Linked DNA regions of Elephas maximus indicus. The protein of the gene in region 2 binds, or shares a complex with, the protein of the main gene of each other region. Links are inferred from orthologs where the notes say so. Each region holds a gene or a part of one and is shown on either strand. Other genes may lie near its edges.

The links.
Region 1: the proteins of PTPN11 (region 2) and PDGFRB are in contact, whole or in part, in a crystal structure (PDB 1AYA), measured with the Mus musculus proteins. The link is inferred for Elephas maximus indicus from reciprocal best matches to the Homo sapiens genes PTPN11 and PDGFRB. Residues at the interface, in NP_001103462.1 of Mus musculus: Gly13, Val14, Glu17, Arg32, Pro33, Ser34, Lys35, Ser36, Thr42, Thr52, His53, Ile54, Lys55, Leu65, Gly68, Gln87, Leu88, Lys89, Glu90, Lys91, Gly93, Ile96; in NP_032835.2 of Mus musculus: Ser1005, Val1006, Leu1007, Tyr1008, Thr1009, Ala1010, Val1011, Gln1012, Pro1013.

Annotation. Positions count from the first base shown.
Region 1 is NC_064820.1:165,347,741-165,354,600, forward strand, and holds the start of PDGFRB (platelet-derived growth factor receptor beta), read right to left. Parts: upstream 3,012-6,860; 5' UTR 2,348-3,011; intron 1-2,347. UniProt on the Homo sapiens protein: Tyrosine-protein kinase that acts as a cell-surface receptor for homodimeric PDGFB and PDGFD and for heterodimers formed by PDGFA and PDGFB, and plays an essential role in the regulation of embryonic development, cell proliferation, survival, differentiation, chemotaxis and migration.
Region 2 is NC_064840.1:10,657,858-10,665,667, forward strand, and holds the start of PTPN11 (tyrosine-protein phosphatase non-receptor type 11), read left to right. Parts: upstream 1-4,795; 5' UTR 4,796-4,999; coding exon 5,000-5,013; intron 5,014-7,810. UniProt on the Homo sapiens protein: Acts downstream of various receptor and cytoplasmic protein tyrosine kinases to participate in the signal transduction from the cell surface to the nucleus. Positively regulates MAPK signal transduction pathway. Dephosphorylates GAB1, ARHGAP35 and EGFR.

The DNA of each region.
Region 1 (6,860 bases), on a different chromosome or scaffold from region 2:
CTGCCTCTCAGATGAGGGAGCAGCCCAGAGAGGGCACAGAGGTTGAGGCTGGCCACACAGCGAATGTGAGTGGAGTGGAGCCAGGACCAGTACCGGATCTCGTGATGCTGAATCCACGGTGCTTTCCATTGTCCCACATCTGTGGGCAATTACAAGTCCCAACTCTTCTTCCCACAGAAACAGCTGCCACCCCCAGAGGAGGGAGGCTGCCTGATAACCATGTTCAAGCAGTAACCACTGTTCTGAAAGGAGGATGCCAAACAGATGGTCCCCTTCCCCATTCAAGACCAAGCCAGGGCCTGGGCAGACCTTGAAGCCAATCAGGCCTGAGGTTAAACTTTCTGTGGGGGAAGATGCTGACGCCAGGGTCCAGCCCTTGGAGAGAATGGGAACTCTCCCCCTTCTGACCAGCGGCTCCCTGGTAGGGTGGGGGTTAAGACTTTGTATTCGGGCAGACTATGGCTCAAATACCAACTCTACTAGCTGTGTGACCCTGGGCAAGTCACTTTAGCCCCTCTAAGCCTCAGTTTCCTCATCTGTAAAATAGGAGTACTCCCAATACTGATGTCAAAGAGCCGCTGAGTATTACAAAGTGTGTGAGGTACCAGCCTCTGTGCCCGGCATGGGGCAAAGGCTCTATGATGGTGATCAGTGCAGTGGTCACATCCATGAATGCTATGGGTCAGGGTGCTCCTATTGGAGGCAGGAGAGGCCTGCCTGACCTCTGCAGTTCTCACTGGAGACCTGTGTGCTCAGGGATCACAGAAGTAGGCAGGGACTCCCCCACACCCCCACCCCCCACCCCCATTTGAAATAGGGAAATGTGATCTAGAGGAGCCCTTGATGGCCTGGAAGGGCATGTGAAGGAAAGCAGGAGGCTTGAGTTCTGGCCAGTTTCTCCTCCTTTTCACCAGCACATTTTCTCAACCCTACTGCCTGCCCAGGGCTGGGCAGTGGGGACAGAACATAGATGAGGAGGCCTGGGGCCTGAACACTCTCTGTCATGTGGATGGACAGAACACAAACAGGAAGAGAAGGCCAAGCAACAAGGTCCCAGCATGTAGTGCGCAGCAGTGGCCTGGGAGCTCAGAGGAGGGAGCAAGCTCTGAGGACTGGAAGGGCCCAGGAAGGCTGCCTGGAGGAGGCAGGACTAGGGAGGATCCTTGAAGGAAAAGTGGAGGTGATAAGGAAAGACATTTCAGGCAGGAGAATGGGGAAGGCAAAGGCTCACAGGCAGGATCATGCAAATTCCTTCTGGGATGTCTGAGATTTGACTGAAGGAACAAAAGGCCCAAGTTTGCAGTAACGGGGGTGGAGGGTCAGTACCTTTCCAAGGTCTGCCACTTACTAGCTGTGTGGCTGTAGTTATGTGGCTACCATGAGCCTCAGTTTCCCTGTGGGTAAAGGGAAGGGAAAAGCAGTCCCTGCTTCTGGGTCTGCTGGTTACCGTTAAATGAGATCACTCTCATAAAGCACTCAGCACAGTGCCTGGCGTGCAGTAAGTGTCAATCAGTGGCAGCCGTTGTTAGAAGCCGGGGTTTTCTACAGGTACTGAGGAGCCACAGAAAGATTTTGAGCAGGAAGGTCGCCTCACCAGATTTATATTTTAGAATGGAATGGAAAAGAAGCCAAGCCCTGAAACGGGGAGACAGCAAGGAGGCCCGAGCAGTCACTTGGGACCCAAGGAAAGAGTCCAGCTGGCTAACCCCCTCTTTACAGGAGGCCCCCAGATCTGACAGCCTGGTCCCAGACCCTCAGCCCCAGCTGCAAGACTGCTAGGTTGAGCCTGCCCCCAGCCACGGTCCCCGGTCCCCTTCATTCTCGAACTTTCCCAGTCACTGGGGGTTTGGAAGGACATGTTAGGAATCTGGAAAATTTGCAAATCCATTTAAATCCCCAGAGGTTGCCTGGTGGCTGACTGGCCTAGAGCCAAGGCTTAGGCCTGGGGGCAGGGGCAGTGGCCCTGAGGTCCCTAGTCCCCTGCTAGGTCCCCTTTCCATGTACCCTACATGCCATCCCCCAGTTCCACTTTCTCGCCCCTCCCAGCTCTCCCCACCTCTTGTAGACACCATTGTGCTTTGAAGGCCCCCACTTGGCACCAAGAAACCTCTGGGGTTTGTTTAACTGGGGAAGGGCAGCACAGTTGGGAAGGCAGGGACCACCCCCCTCCAGAAGCGGCCTGAGCAGAGGAAAGGAGAAAAACAGCTCCTCCAGCCCTGACATTGTCTTCCGCCTCCAGGCCTCCTCCCATATGGTTTTGTTAAAAATAGTTTTCATTTTTTTGAGGCTCAGGCTGGGACAAGGGGACAGGGCAAGGGGCTAGGGTCCTCCCTCTCCCGGCACTTACCTTGCTGCGGTGTCTTCTAATGTTAGCACAGTCCCAGGCTCTGGGCTGCCACCCCCTCCAGGAAGTCCTCCTCACTGCCCTCTCCCAGTTATCTGGAGACTTTGCTGGACTCCAGACTGCCAGTGGCTGGGTAGGGGGGCAAGAAGGGTGGCTGTAGACCAGAGCCTCGGGGAACAAGAGAGTGGGGGGCTGCAGCGGTAAAGAGCAGCCCAGCTTCGCCTCACTCCCAAAGCATCCTTCCGTAGGAGTCAAGCTGCCAGGAGGGGCCGCCCTGGGTCTGGCTGGCTGGGTCGCAGGGCACGGGCTTCAGTTCCGCGGCTGCTCTGAGGGGCCAGGCTTCCTCTTCCTCGGCGTCCTCCTCCTCTCTGAGCTGCTCACGGAGCGATCCCGGATCCCAGACAGGGCGGGTAGGGACTGCTGGGCGGCTGGCAGCCCCAGGAGCTCACACCACCGTGGGCTTCCCTGCTTCCACCGCCCCCTCCACTTTGGGGGAAAGGCCGCAAGACGGCTTCTGATTGGCCTAGCTGGGAGAAGGGGGGCGGCAGAGCAGGGAGGGTGGACGCGTGCGTCTGTTTTCAATTTCACTTTTTTCCCCCCTCTCTTTCTTTTCCCCAAGTTTCTTGTTTTTCTTCCTCTTTTCCTTCTTCTTACTCCCTCCCGTCTCCCGCTCTCTCAGGACGTGAGGGGATGTTTAGAAATTCCGAAGCCCACGCCAGCCAGTCGCTGAGTCACTTTTATTAAAAAGTGGCCCGTCCCCATTTGATGTTTGTCACCAGTGGCCTCTCCTTGCCATGGCACCTGGGGGGGCGGCTCTTCTGTGCCTCAGTTTCCCCATCTGTAAAGGGAGCTCTGATAATCTCTATGATTGATTCAGTCAACATTCATTCATTGAACAAGCATTACTGAGCATCGACTATGTGCTAGGCACTGTGCTAGGCTCCAGGGTGCGGTGGTAAGACACAGTCCCTGACCTCAGGGAAGCTCAGACTAGTGGGAGTGACGGACAATGTGCAAACAGGTACCCCACGGGAGGACAGGGAGCTGGGATGCATTTTAGAGGGCACCTAACTGATGATTGAGGAAATTAGAGAAGAGATGAAAAGACTCTCCAGGGTTATTTGTTACTTTCAGAAGGAGAAGCTAAGGCCCAGGCATGGCTTGGCACAGAGAGGGAAAGCAGTTTGCCCAAGGTCACCCAGCACACTCCAGATTTCCAGACATGTTTCTTTCTATCATCTCAGAGCCCCTGGGGTACCAGGGAAGGATTATTTGCCCCTTTTGTAGGTGAGGAAACTGAGGCCCAGAGGAGAGAAATGAGTTGCCCAAGCTCACACAGCAATGGCAGAGCTGGAGCAGAGTTGGGTTTCATAAGTTACATGATCAAAGTTTCACAGGTCATCTGACTCTGACCCAACACCCATATTCCAGTGTAGACCAGCCCTCCTGCCCTGCCTTCTTCCTAGGTTACCTCTTTCCTTGTCTCTATTTATTCAGTCACTCAACAAGTATTTTTGAGTAGCTGGTATGTTCCATTCTCCTGCCTTCCTTCCTCACCAGGGTCTGCTCCTGGTCTCCACATTGGGCTTTTCATCCCCCACACTCATCTTCCATATTTACCTCCTCAGCTCAGAAGATGGCAGACTCCTAGCCCTTCGATGCCAAGGGGCATTATTTGAAAAGGGCTTAGAGTTAAGCTAAGCCAACCTGTGCCTCCACTACTATACACGTGGGGGACCTGAGGACCAGAGAGAGGAAGAAATGTGTCCCAGGTCCACAGGTACAGCCTGCCTATGCCCAGAGCAACTTCCACTATGTACTCTGTACTTTTGTCTACCCCCTTCTCCTCCCCACCCCCACCCCAGATCACTGTTCATGGACAGGGAAGTTGCTTGAGCTGGAATTCCAGGCCAACTGCAGTAATCTATCTTGAAACCATTTCTTGGTCTTGTTGCAAAAGGGATTCCCCAGTTGGGCATCTGGGCTGGGCTGCATAGAGGAAGAAGGATCCACAGACTGGCCCAGGCACATGACGGGGACTGTGAAAATGTCCCAAGAGAGAGAGCCTGGAGCAGGGCTTGGTGGCAGCAGATTCATGTGAGAGAACCCCAGAGGCCACAGGGTCAGGCATCATAGGGACTGCTTGTGCCCAAAGACTTCACCAGGAATTTACAGCTCCACTCCTAGCATTTGCTGGCCATGCGCCTCTGAAAATTTGGCCCAACTGCTGGGGCCAGGAGAGCTCAGAGGGAGCAATGGAGCAATGGAGCTTTTCGACTCCCTTCTTCCCAGAAAAGCTGGTCTGGAATCAGGATACCTAGTCTCAGACCTATTGAGTGACCTTGGTTAGGTCCCTTGGCCTCCCTGAGCCTCAGTTTCTCGATCTGTACCTAACAAGGGTGGACTCACTGTGCTGGAAGGCCCTTAGGATGGTCTGTCTGCAGTTCCCCTTAGAGCTGGACCCTGGCTAAATAGAGGAGGCTGGGGGGCCCCAGGGCAGGGGGACAGCTGGGGGCCAGCGATGCAGTACAGAGGGGAGGGGGCGGCTGGTGGTGGCTCCCCAGGGACACTGGCGGCAGCCAGTTTCCGGCCAGCGCAGCCATCCGGCTGGCCCATCTGGAAGCACTTAGCCCCTACCACCATTAACCCTTGGTGGGCACCAGGCTGTCATGGCTCCTCTCAGCTGAGATAGGGGTGGGTACTGAGCCACAGAGAGCACCACAGGGCACTCACTGAGGGCTGGACAGTTGGGACAAAAGGGTGGAGATTGACAGGGAAAGTTCTAGAGCCAGAGGCAGAAAAAAAGGCAGAGCTGCGTTCAAATCCCAGGTTCTCCACTTCTAAGTTGCATGACTTTGGACAAGTCACTTAAACTCCTGTACATTTGTTTCCTCTTTTGGAGAATGGGGATGGATAATAAGAGGGCTAACTCGTGAAATTATTGTGAATTTGTAATGTATGTAAAGGGCTTAGTACAGTGCCTAGAATGTAATCGAAATAGTGAGTTCCCCTCATTCAAGCTGCGTCCCATCACTGTGTGCTCTGGGCAGAGCCCTTCCTCCTTTGGGCCTCAGTTTCTCCTTGTGCACTCTGAGGGGCTGGGTGGGTGTCATGTGGGCAACGCAACACTGACATGCTGAGGTGTTCACCATGAACAGCATGTCACGAGCATTCTCCCACCCGTCCAAATGCTGGGCGCCCAGTCCTCCCCTGCTCATGGCCTCGGGCCATCCTGGGCTCAAAGTGGGTGGGCAGAACATGGACCTTGGAGAGCCCTGCCTGAGGTGGACTGGAAGGGGGTGCAGAGGGAGAGAAGAGCTCTGGGCCTTCGGGTTCACTACCACCTCCCCAAAGAACTAGTGGTACTGCTCAAGGGTTAAGAGCCTGGGCTCTGGGGTTGGCAGTTTCAAGCCAGCTTTGCCACTTCCTAGCTGTGTGACCCTGGACAAAGTATATTATCTGAGCTCTCTGAGCCTCAGTTTCTTCAACTGTAAAAAGGGATAAATGTGCCCACTTCAAGGGGTGGTTGAGAAGCCTGAAAAAATGGTTCACAGAAGGTGTTTTGTGCAGGGAGCAGAGCAGAGTAAGAAAGCTCCACCCGAGACCACTAGTTGTCAGGGGTCACCAGGAGCTGCTGTCTCACAAGTCCACAGTCAGGGCTGGAGGAAGCTCTCCAACCCGCTCATTTTACAGCCCAGGTGACTGAGGCCCAAGGATGGAAAGCTACTTGGGCAAGGCTTTCCGGTGTGTCCCCGGCAGCACTGGGACTGGAAGCAAGGCTTTTGTCTAGACTCTCGGCCCCCTGATCTTCCCTAAAGGAGGGAACCAGGCTCAACTGACTCCTCTCCTAAGACCCTCACCCACGCTTGTTTGAGCCGGAAGCCGTAGTGCTCAGTGGGGTGGAGGGAGAAGGAGGGGGGTGCCCGGAAAGGGAGCCTGAGTGGGAGAATTCCCAGTAGGCCAGCTCAGCACTCACTCAGGCAGGGCCAGCGGCCACCACATCTGGCTCTCCCACGCTCCCAGCTGTTGGCCCCTCCCCAGGCTCCCCCATCAGGAGGTGAGGAAGCAGCACACACATCCCAGGCATCGAAGCAATCATTTTGGATGTCAGGGCCAGAGGGGCCCTAAGAATGTGTCTATTGTACAAGCATGGAAACTGAGGCCCTAAGAGTGGAGGGGACTTGTCTGAGATTAGTGGAGAAACAGAGGCCTGGAATGCAGGACTTCTGACCCTCACCTCACTACCTTTTCACCAATTCACCCCTCGTCCAGGTAGATGCTTGTATCTACAGTCAGGGGGCCAGAAGAGGCACAGGGAGGGAACTGCTTTCCCACCTCTCACCCACCTCTGTCCTCTTCTCAGTGCCCAGTGACCATAGGGAACTGGAGTGTGGCCTTTTGGTGCACACAAATGGCTCAAGGATTATAAGAACAGTAGAACCCACTGGACGCACTGGGTCCTAACATCCAGAGAGGGTCAGAACCTGCTTGAGGACACACAGCAAGTTTAGGATGG
Region 2 (7,810 bases):
GACACCAAGGAGCCCTAGTGGAGCAGTGGTTAAAGCGATTGACTGCTAACCAAAAGGTCAGCAGTTTGACACCAGTGGCAGCTCCTAGAGAGAAAAATATGGCAGTTGACCTCCATAGAGATTTACTTTACACCCTTGGAAACCCTATGAGGTCACTATGAGTTGGAATTGACTTGACAGCAGTAGGGTTTTTTCTTTTTTTTTTTTTTTTGGTTTTGGAGACACTCATTTTTAACCTCATCACAACCTCCACGTGAGGTAGGAATTTTAGATGAAAGAACTTAGGCTCTATTAGTATAAACGAATTAATTACCCAAGGTCACCATCTAGTTACCTTGGTTCATATCTCTTTGTGGCACAGAAAGACAGAAAACCACGAGACAGTTGTGCTGCAGAAAGGGCATTGTCCTTGTAGCCCAGAGGCCACTTTGTGTATGACCCCAGGGCAAGCCCCTGCACATCAGTTTTCTTATAAAATGGGGATGATATTGATAATATTGATAATACTTCCCTGAGTGTTAATACTAAGGCCAACCTAGTGATTCACTCACTTGCTGAGTCAATGATTTCCCCATAAGGAAGTTCATGGAAGCATTATTTTTAGTGGCAAAAAAAAAAAAAAACCCAAAATGGAAATAATTTGAATGTCCATCAACACAGCACTAGTTGACTAAGTAGCACGCATCCATATGATGGAATGTTTTGCAGCACTGGAAATGAATGAACTGTTCAGTATGGTAGCTTCTAGCCAGATGTGGCTACTGATCACTTCAAATGTACATAATTTAACTTAAGATATTCTGTAAGTGTAAAATACACACTTGTTTTGAAGTTTTAGTAAGAAGAAGCGAATGTAAAATATCTCATTAAGAACGTTTCATATTCATGAAAGGAGAGACTGGAAGGAGGAAGCGGGCTGACTCATTAGGGGGAGAGTAAATGGGAGTATGTGGTAAGGTGTATATAAGCTTATATGTGAGAGACTGACTTGATTTGTAAACTTTCACTTAAAGCACAATAAAAAGTATTTTAAAAAAAAAGAATGTTTCATATTGATTACATGTTGAATGATAATATTTTGGTGTATTGGTGTTATGGATTGAATTGTGTTCCCCAAAATTTGTATTGTAAATCCTAACCTCTTTGTTTCTGGTGGCACAGTGGTTGAGAGCTTGGCTGCTAGCCAAAAGGTCAGCAGTTCAAATCCACCAGTTACTCCTTGGAAACCCTGTGGGCCAATTCTACTCTGTTCTATAGGGTTGCTATGAGTTGGAATCCACTGACTGACAATGGGTTTGTTTTGCTTTGTTTTTATGCTTGTAGTTATAATTCTATTTGGCAATGGGTTTTCTTTGTTATGTTAAGAGGCCATATCAGTGTAGGGTGTGTTTTAAGCCAATTACTTTTGAGATATAAAAACAACAGATTAGTACAGAGAAGCAAAGAGATATAGGAGAAGACAGACACCATGCCAAATAAAGATCAGGAAGGAGCAAAGGAATAGAAGCCGAAGAGGCAAGGACCTTCTCTCAGTGCTGACAGAGACAGAAAGCCTTCCCCTAGAGCCAGTGCCCTAACTTGGGGCCTCTGCTTCCAAAATTGTGAGAAAATAAATTTCTGTTCATTAAAGCCACTCACTTGTGTTATTTTTGTTATAGTAGCACTAGATAACTAAAACAATTGGGTTAAATAAAACATATTATTCAAATTAATTCCACTTGTTTAAGTGTGACTAATAGGAACTTTTTTGAGTTGGAATTGACGGCAGTGGGTTTGTTTTTTTAATAGGAACTTTATAATTATGTATGTGGCCCACATTATATTTGTATTGGAAAACCATTGCTAATCTAGAGGGATGTCCGTTGTGTATTACATAAATCACACAAACATCTAATGAACTCAGTTTAAAAAATAAAATAGAAAAAAACTCTATGTTGTGTATGTGAGTGAATGTGGGTGTGGAATGTGTGTGTCGATATAGGCATAGTGAAAAGTGTGAAAGGATATACACCAAGCCTTTAATGTTGATGAGGGTTGAAGAAGATAGAATGTACACTGAGGAGCAGGGCCAATTACTGTTTCTTTGGCTTGTTGCAAGGACTTTGCATTGCCTTTCCAACTGAGAGAGAAATTCAAATAAAGCATCTCTAAATAAGTAATAAGTAAATTTTAAGCTTGTTGTATACCAGGTACTGTGCCAGGCTCTGAGGTTATAAAGACGAAGAAGACAATGACTTTGTCTAAAAAGCTCATAATATGGGGGAAGACAGAGAAGCATCGATCAACAATGACTTTGAAGTATGTTAGGTGCTGACAGAGGCACAAACAGGCTGCCCCAAGTGCATAGGAAGGGGGTGTCCATTTTATCTTCAGTTAGTGGTCAAGGGGTGAGTGCAGAGAATGTTTCCTGGAGGGGCTGCATGAATGTTTCCTGGAGGGGCTGCATGAGGTGGAGCTAAACCTTCCATGACACTTAGTTCTCCAGATGTGGAAGAGTTCAAAGGGTATTCCAGGCAAAAGGAAGTCAATTTTCGAAAGCCGGGAAGTAAGAAACAGCAACAAGCCTTTAGGAATAGCTAGAATATGTGAGGGGGTGGGAGCAAATGAGGCTGAACAGGTAGGCACAGGCCGTACAGTGATGAGTTTTAGGTGCTAATGGAAGGATTTTAATTTACTGCTAAAAGCTTTGATCTCACTCATAGACCAGTGGAATGACATGACTAGATTTGCATCATAGAAAGATCACTGTAGCAGCAGAGTGTACAGAATTATAGGAATGATTAGGGAGGCACAGTTTCTGCACTCAAGGAACTTACAGTCTACTTGGGAAAAGAGACAAATGATAATTGGCATTTATCAAATTCTTACTTGGCCAGTCACTGTTCTAAGCACTTCACAAATATTAACCCTCTTAATCCCCATTTTTGATCCCCATTTCACAGAGAAGGAAGCTGAGACACAGAGGAGTCAAGTGACTTGGTTACGGACTTGCAGGCAGGCAGGCAGGCAGGCTGGGTTTTGGAGGTCAAGAACTTCATTTCCATATGATACTTCCTCTTAGATTTATAATGGAGCATGTTTGGTTCTAAGCTAGGATAGGAGCCTTGGGGGGCTATCTAATCTGGACTAGAAGAATCAGCCATGGCTTCCTATTACAGAGGAGGTGACTTCTACTTTGAGGTTTGAAGCCTAAACTAGAATTCATGGTGGGGGGTGGGCAGGAAGAAACTTCCAGGGAGACAGAGATTGTTTAAAGACCTTGATCTAGGAAAAAGCACGGCATATTGAGGAGAACCAAAAGTCACTCCATACAGCTGGGCCATGAAGAATGGAGGCAAGTGGTGGAGAGCAAAGGAGCTGATGATGTGGGCAGGGGCCAGACCAGGCTGGAGTCTTGTACACCATGTTAAATGTTTTTGGATTTCATCCTAAAAGCAATGAGAAACCACTGAAGCATTCAAGGCAGGGAATGAGTAGTTTTGCATTTTAGATCACTCTGACTGTTACGTGGAGAATGGATTGGAACTGGGTAAACCTATAGGTCTAAGATCAGTTAGGATGCTGTTCGAGTGATCTAGGTGAGATGTAATTTAGGTGGCCAGAATTTAGGATGATGGAGAGAAACAGGGCTGGGCAACTGCTTGTTGAACAGCTACTACCTAAATGAAATCAACATATATTGAAGACAATTTTTGCAAGGAGCAGAACAATGTCAAAGCAGTTATCACCTTCTATGAGAGTTCTTTGCATAGGAGTGAGAAGGGAAGCAATGGGACAAAAATGAGGATTTTGGAGCTATGTGGATGTTGGCTGAAATCCTAGCTCTGCTACTTACTAGCTGTATTGCCTTAAGTCAATATATGTTTAATCATAATGATAATAACAGGTAACAATTATAACCACAGCAATTAAAAAAACTAAATTCACTGCCGTCAAGCCTATCTCGACTCATAGCCACCCTACAGGACAGAGTAGAACTACCCCGTAGGGTTTCCAAGGCTGTAAATCTGACAGAAACAGACTGCCACCTTTTCCTCCCGTGGAGCAGCTGACTGGTTCGATCTACCAACCTTCTGGTTAGCAGCCGAACGCTTTAACCACCGTGCCACCAGGGCTCCTGTAATAATTGTAAAGCACTTATTAGGTAGGCTGGAGTCCTGGTAGCGCAGTTGTTAAGAGCCTGGCTGCTAATCAGAAGGTTGGCTGTTCCAATCCACAGCCACTCCTTGGAAACCTATGGGGCAGTTCCACTCTCTCCTACAGGGTCCCTGAGTCGGAGTGGACTCGACGGCAACGAGTTTTTTGGACTATATAAAAAAAAAAAAAAAAAAAAAAATTTTTTTTTTTTTATAGGACAGGCCCAGTCTAAGCACGTTATATATTTAATCTTCACAGTAACCCTAAGAAGAAAATGTATTTTACAATGAGGAAACTGAAGGACAGAAAAATTAAGAAACTTTCTCTAGATTACAAAGCCAGTAAGTGGAGTAGCGATTTGTGGAATAAAATGAATGAATTTCGATTTCGCAGTGAGCGCAGGGATGGAAATTGACACAGTAGGAGAGGATGTGATAGGTCCGAGGGAGTGTGTACAACAGCAAACGCGCAGCTCAAGCACAGATTTAAAGGAGAGAGCGAGGGCGCTTTGGGAACTACGCAGCAGCGTATACCAGAAGCAAGCAAGCGGCCATTAACGATCACCTCTCATTCCCCCACAGACTGGAAGCAGGAAGTGGCGGCGGGCGTCGCGCGGGGTGACGTCACGGTGGCGCCGGCAGGGAAGGGCGGGGGAGGAGGAGGAGCGAGCCGGGCTGGAAGGGGGGGTGGCTGCACAGTCTCCGGGATCCCCAGGCCTGGAGGGGGGTCTGCGCGAGGCCGGCTGGCTCTGCCCCCCGTCCGGTCCCGAGCGGGGCCTCCCTCGGGCCAGCCTGATGTGACCCGGCCCAGCGGAGCCTGAGCAAGGAGCGGGTCCGTCGCGGAGCCGGAGGGCGGGAGGAACATGACATCGCGGAGGTGAGGAGCCCCGGGGGCCCCGGCTCTGGCCTCCGCCGGGCCCCCGCCTCGGTCGCCCTGCCCCACCCGGGAGGGGGCGCCGCCGTCGGGCCCCCCCCCGGGTGGGCGGGCAGGTTACCTCTTAACCCCCTCGATCTCCCGGGACCGGGGGCCTGGTCCTTCCGCGCCCCCACCCCTCGGGTCCCCATTCATTTCCTGCCTCCCGGAGTTCCGGCTCGCGCAGCCCGGGGATGTCGGTCTGGACGAGGGCAGGTAGAACCGCCGGGGGAGTCGCGGACGCCAGCGGCCCGGCTCGGCGCCGCATTCCTGACCCATTGCCTCATGAGAATTGCCTCATGGTGATTCCGAAATAACCCCGCTCACTTGGGGAGGCTCCTCGGCCCGGGACGCGGGAGGGGAATGAAGGGAGTTGCGCAGGATCGGGCCCCTGAGGGTCGAGCCGCTCTGGGTCAACCTGCCTCTCGCGCTCTTCTTGGGACTTCACCCAGAACCCCTATCCCTACGTATCCCTTTGCATCACCATTTCCCCCACTTCTCACGTGCCAGAAATGGAAAAACTGACTGTATCTGCAGCTATTAGAAGTATTTCCTTCCTCTGCGATCTTCTCTTTGGGAGATTGCAAGGGAAGGGAGCTATATCAAGTTATTTAATCCTTTATCATAACCTGAAAAGTCAGGTAACTTTAATCATCCCCATTTTACGGAGGTGGAGACCGAGGCTCATAGGTAAGTGGCAGGATTTGAACCTAAGCCTGTCACAATCCAGGGCCAGAAGGATTAGTGAGATCCATTGAAAGTTGAGGGTGATAACACTATTACTAGCTAACATTTATTTAGCTCTTGCTCTAAGCCTAATACGTTTAATCCTCACAACAACCCTGTGAGGTAGGTACTGTTATCCTGAGTTTCAGATGTTAGGCAACTTGGCTAAGGTCACACAACTAATAATTTGGTGGAGCCATAATCCCTACTGTTAATCACGGGGCTGCTATTATTATAGCTATCGCTAATCATTAAAAAAAAAAAAAAAATCATTATTCAGCCTTAATTCTGTTGTTAAACAGTAGTGTGACCTATTGTCTTCAGGTAGCAGTCCTGGTAGTTTGTACTGGCACTCTATATACCACTGACACATAAAATCCATTGTTTATTCTTCTCCTTGGTTGTCTAGTTATGGTCACTGTCTTAGATGTTTGAAAAACAGTTTCAAGTTGCTGGGGTTATTTGAATGAGAGACTTCTCAAAATATTAGAGATAGCTATTTGAAACACACCTGAACGTCACACATTCATGGACCTGGAAAGAAAGTTGGAGAAAAGAGAAGATGGAACTCTCCTAGGAAGTGGGCAGGTCTGTGGGCAAGAGTTTACAGATCTGGGTCATATATAACTATTTCATCAGAACAGTGTATAGCCTCAAATGGTCTAATTCTTTAGGGATCTTTTAAATAAAACAGTAGTCTATTCTTTTAATCTGTCAAATAGTCATTGAGTCTTTTGTTCTTTGTGTCTGCTCTTCCAGACAAGGAAGGATCTGCTTCTTTAGAAGACAAAAAGACTGGGGGTCTTTCTCTATCTATCCCTAGATGGAGAAAGGGGCCGGGTAGTAATAGACCCTACATTGTCCAACTTGTTAGTTTAGAAGCATAGAAGTATGGGCATAGCTAAATCAGCAAGAGGTAAAGATGACACTTTGAAATAGAGTAATTTCTTCTCCCCTCCAGTCCTGATATTTATTATCCACCTACTGTGGATACAGAGGAAACCCTGGTGGCATAGTGGTTAAGTGCTATAGCTGCTAACCAAGAGGTCGGCAGTTCAAATCCGCCAGGTGCTCCTTGGAAACTCTATCGGGCAGTTCTACTCTGTCCTATAGGGTCGCTATGAGTCAGAATCGACTTGACGGCAGTGGGCTTGGTTTTTGGTTTTTAGGTGGATATAGAAAGGAAATGTGAGCCACCTAAAAATTCGTTTATGAACACAATACACATAACTGGGAATCATTTATTACTGTTTTCTGGATTGTAAGTCTCTTATTTGAGCAGTTTTATTCAAGTATACTTGACATGCAGGAAATTGCACATATTTAAAATATACAGTTTGGTAAGTTTTGACATGTATACACTTGTGAAACCAGCACCATAATCAATATAATGGAAAATATCCATCACCCCTCCTGATATTTCCTGGTGGCCCTAAATAATCCCTCCCTTGTTCTTCAGGCAGCCACTGTTTTGCTTTGTGTCACTGTATGTAAGTTTCAGTTTTTTTTGAATTTTATGTAAGTAGATTTAATATTCTTTTTCTTTTTGGTCTGGTTTCTTACGCTCGGCATAATTATCTTGAGATTCATCCATGCTGTAGTGTGTGTCAGTAGGTCATTCCTTTTTATCGTTCAGCAATATTCCATTGTATGGATGTACCACAGTTTGTTTATCCATTCATCTGTTGATGGGCATTGGGTTGTTGCCAGCTTATGGCTATCACAGACAACCTCTGGACATTGGTATACAAGTCTTTGTAGGGACATATGCTTTCGTTTCTCTTGGGGAAGTAGGAATGGAATGGCTGGATCAGATAGTGGGTGCATATTTAATTTTTTCAGAAATTACCAATCTGTTTTCCAGAGCGATTATACCATTTACGTTCTTACCAGCAGTATATGAAAGTTTCTGTTTCATCCACATCCTTACCAACACGTAGTATTACCTGTTATCCGTTGCCGTCGAGTTGATTCTGACTCATAGCGACCCCATAGGACAGAGTAGAACGGCCCCATAGAGTTTCCGAGGAACGGC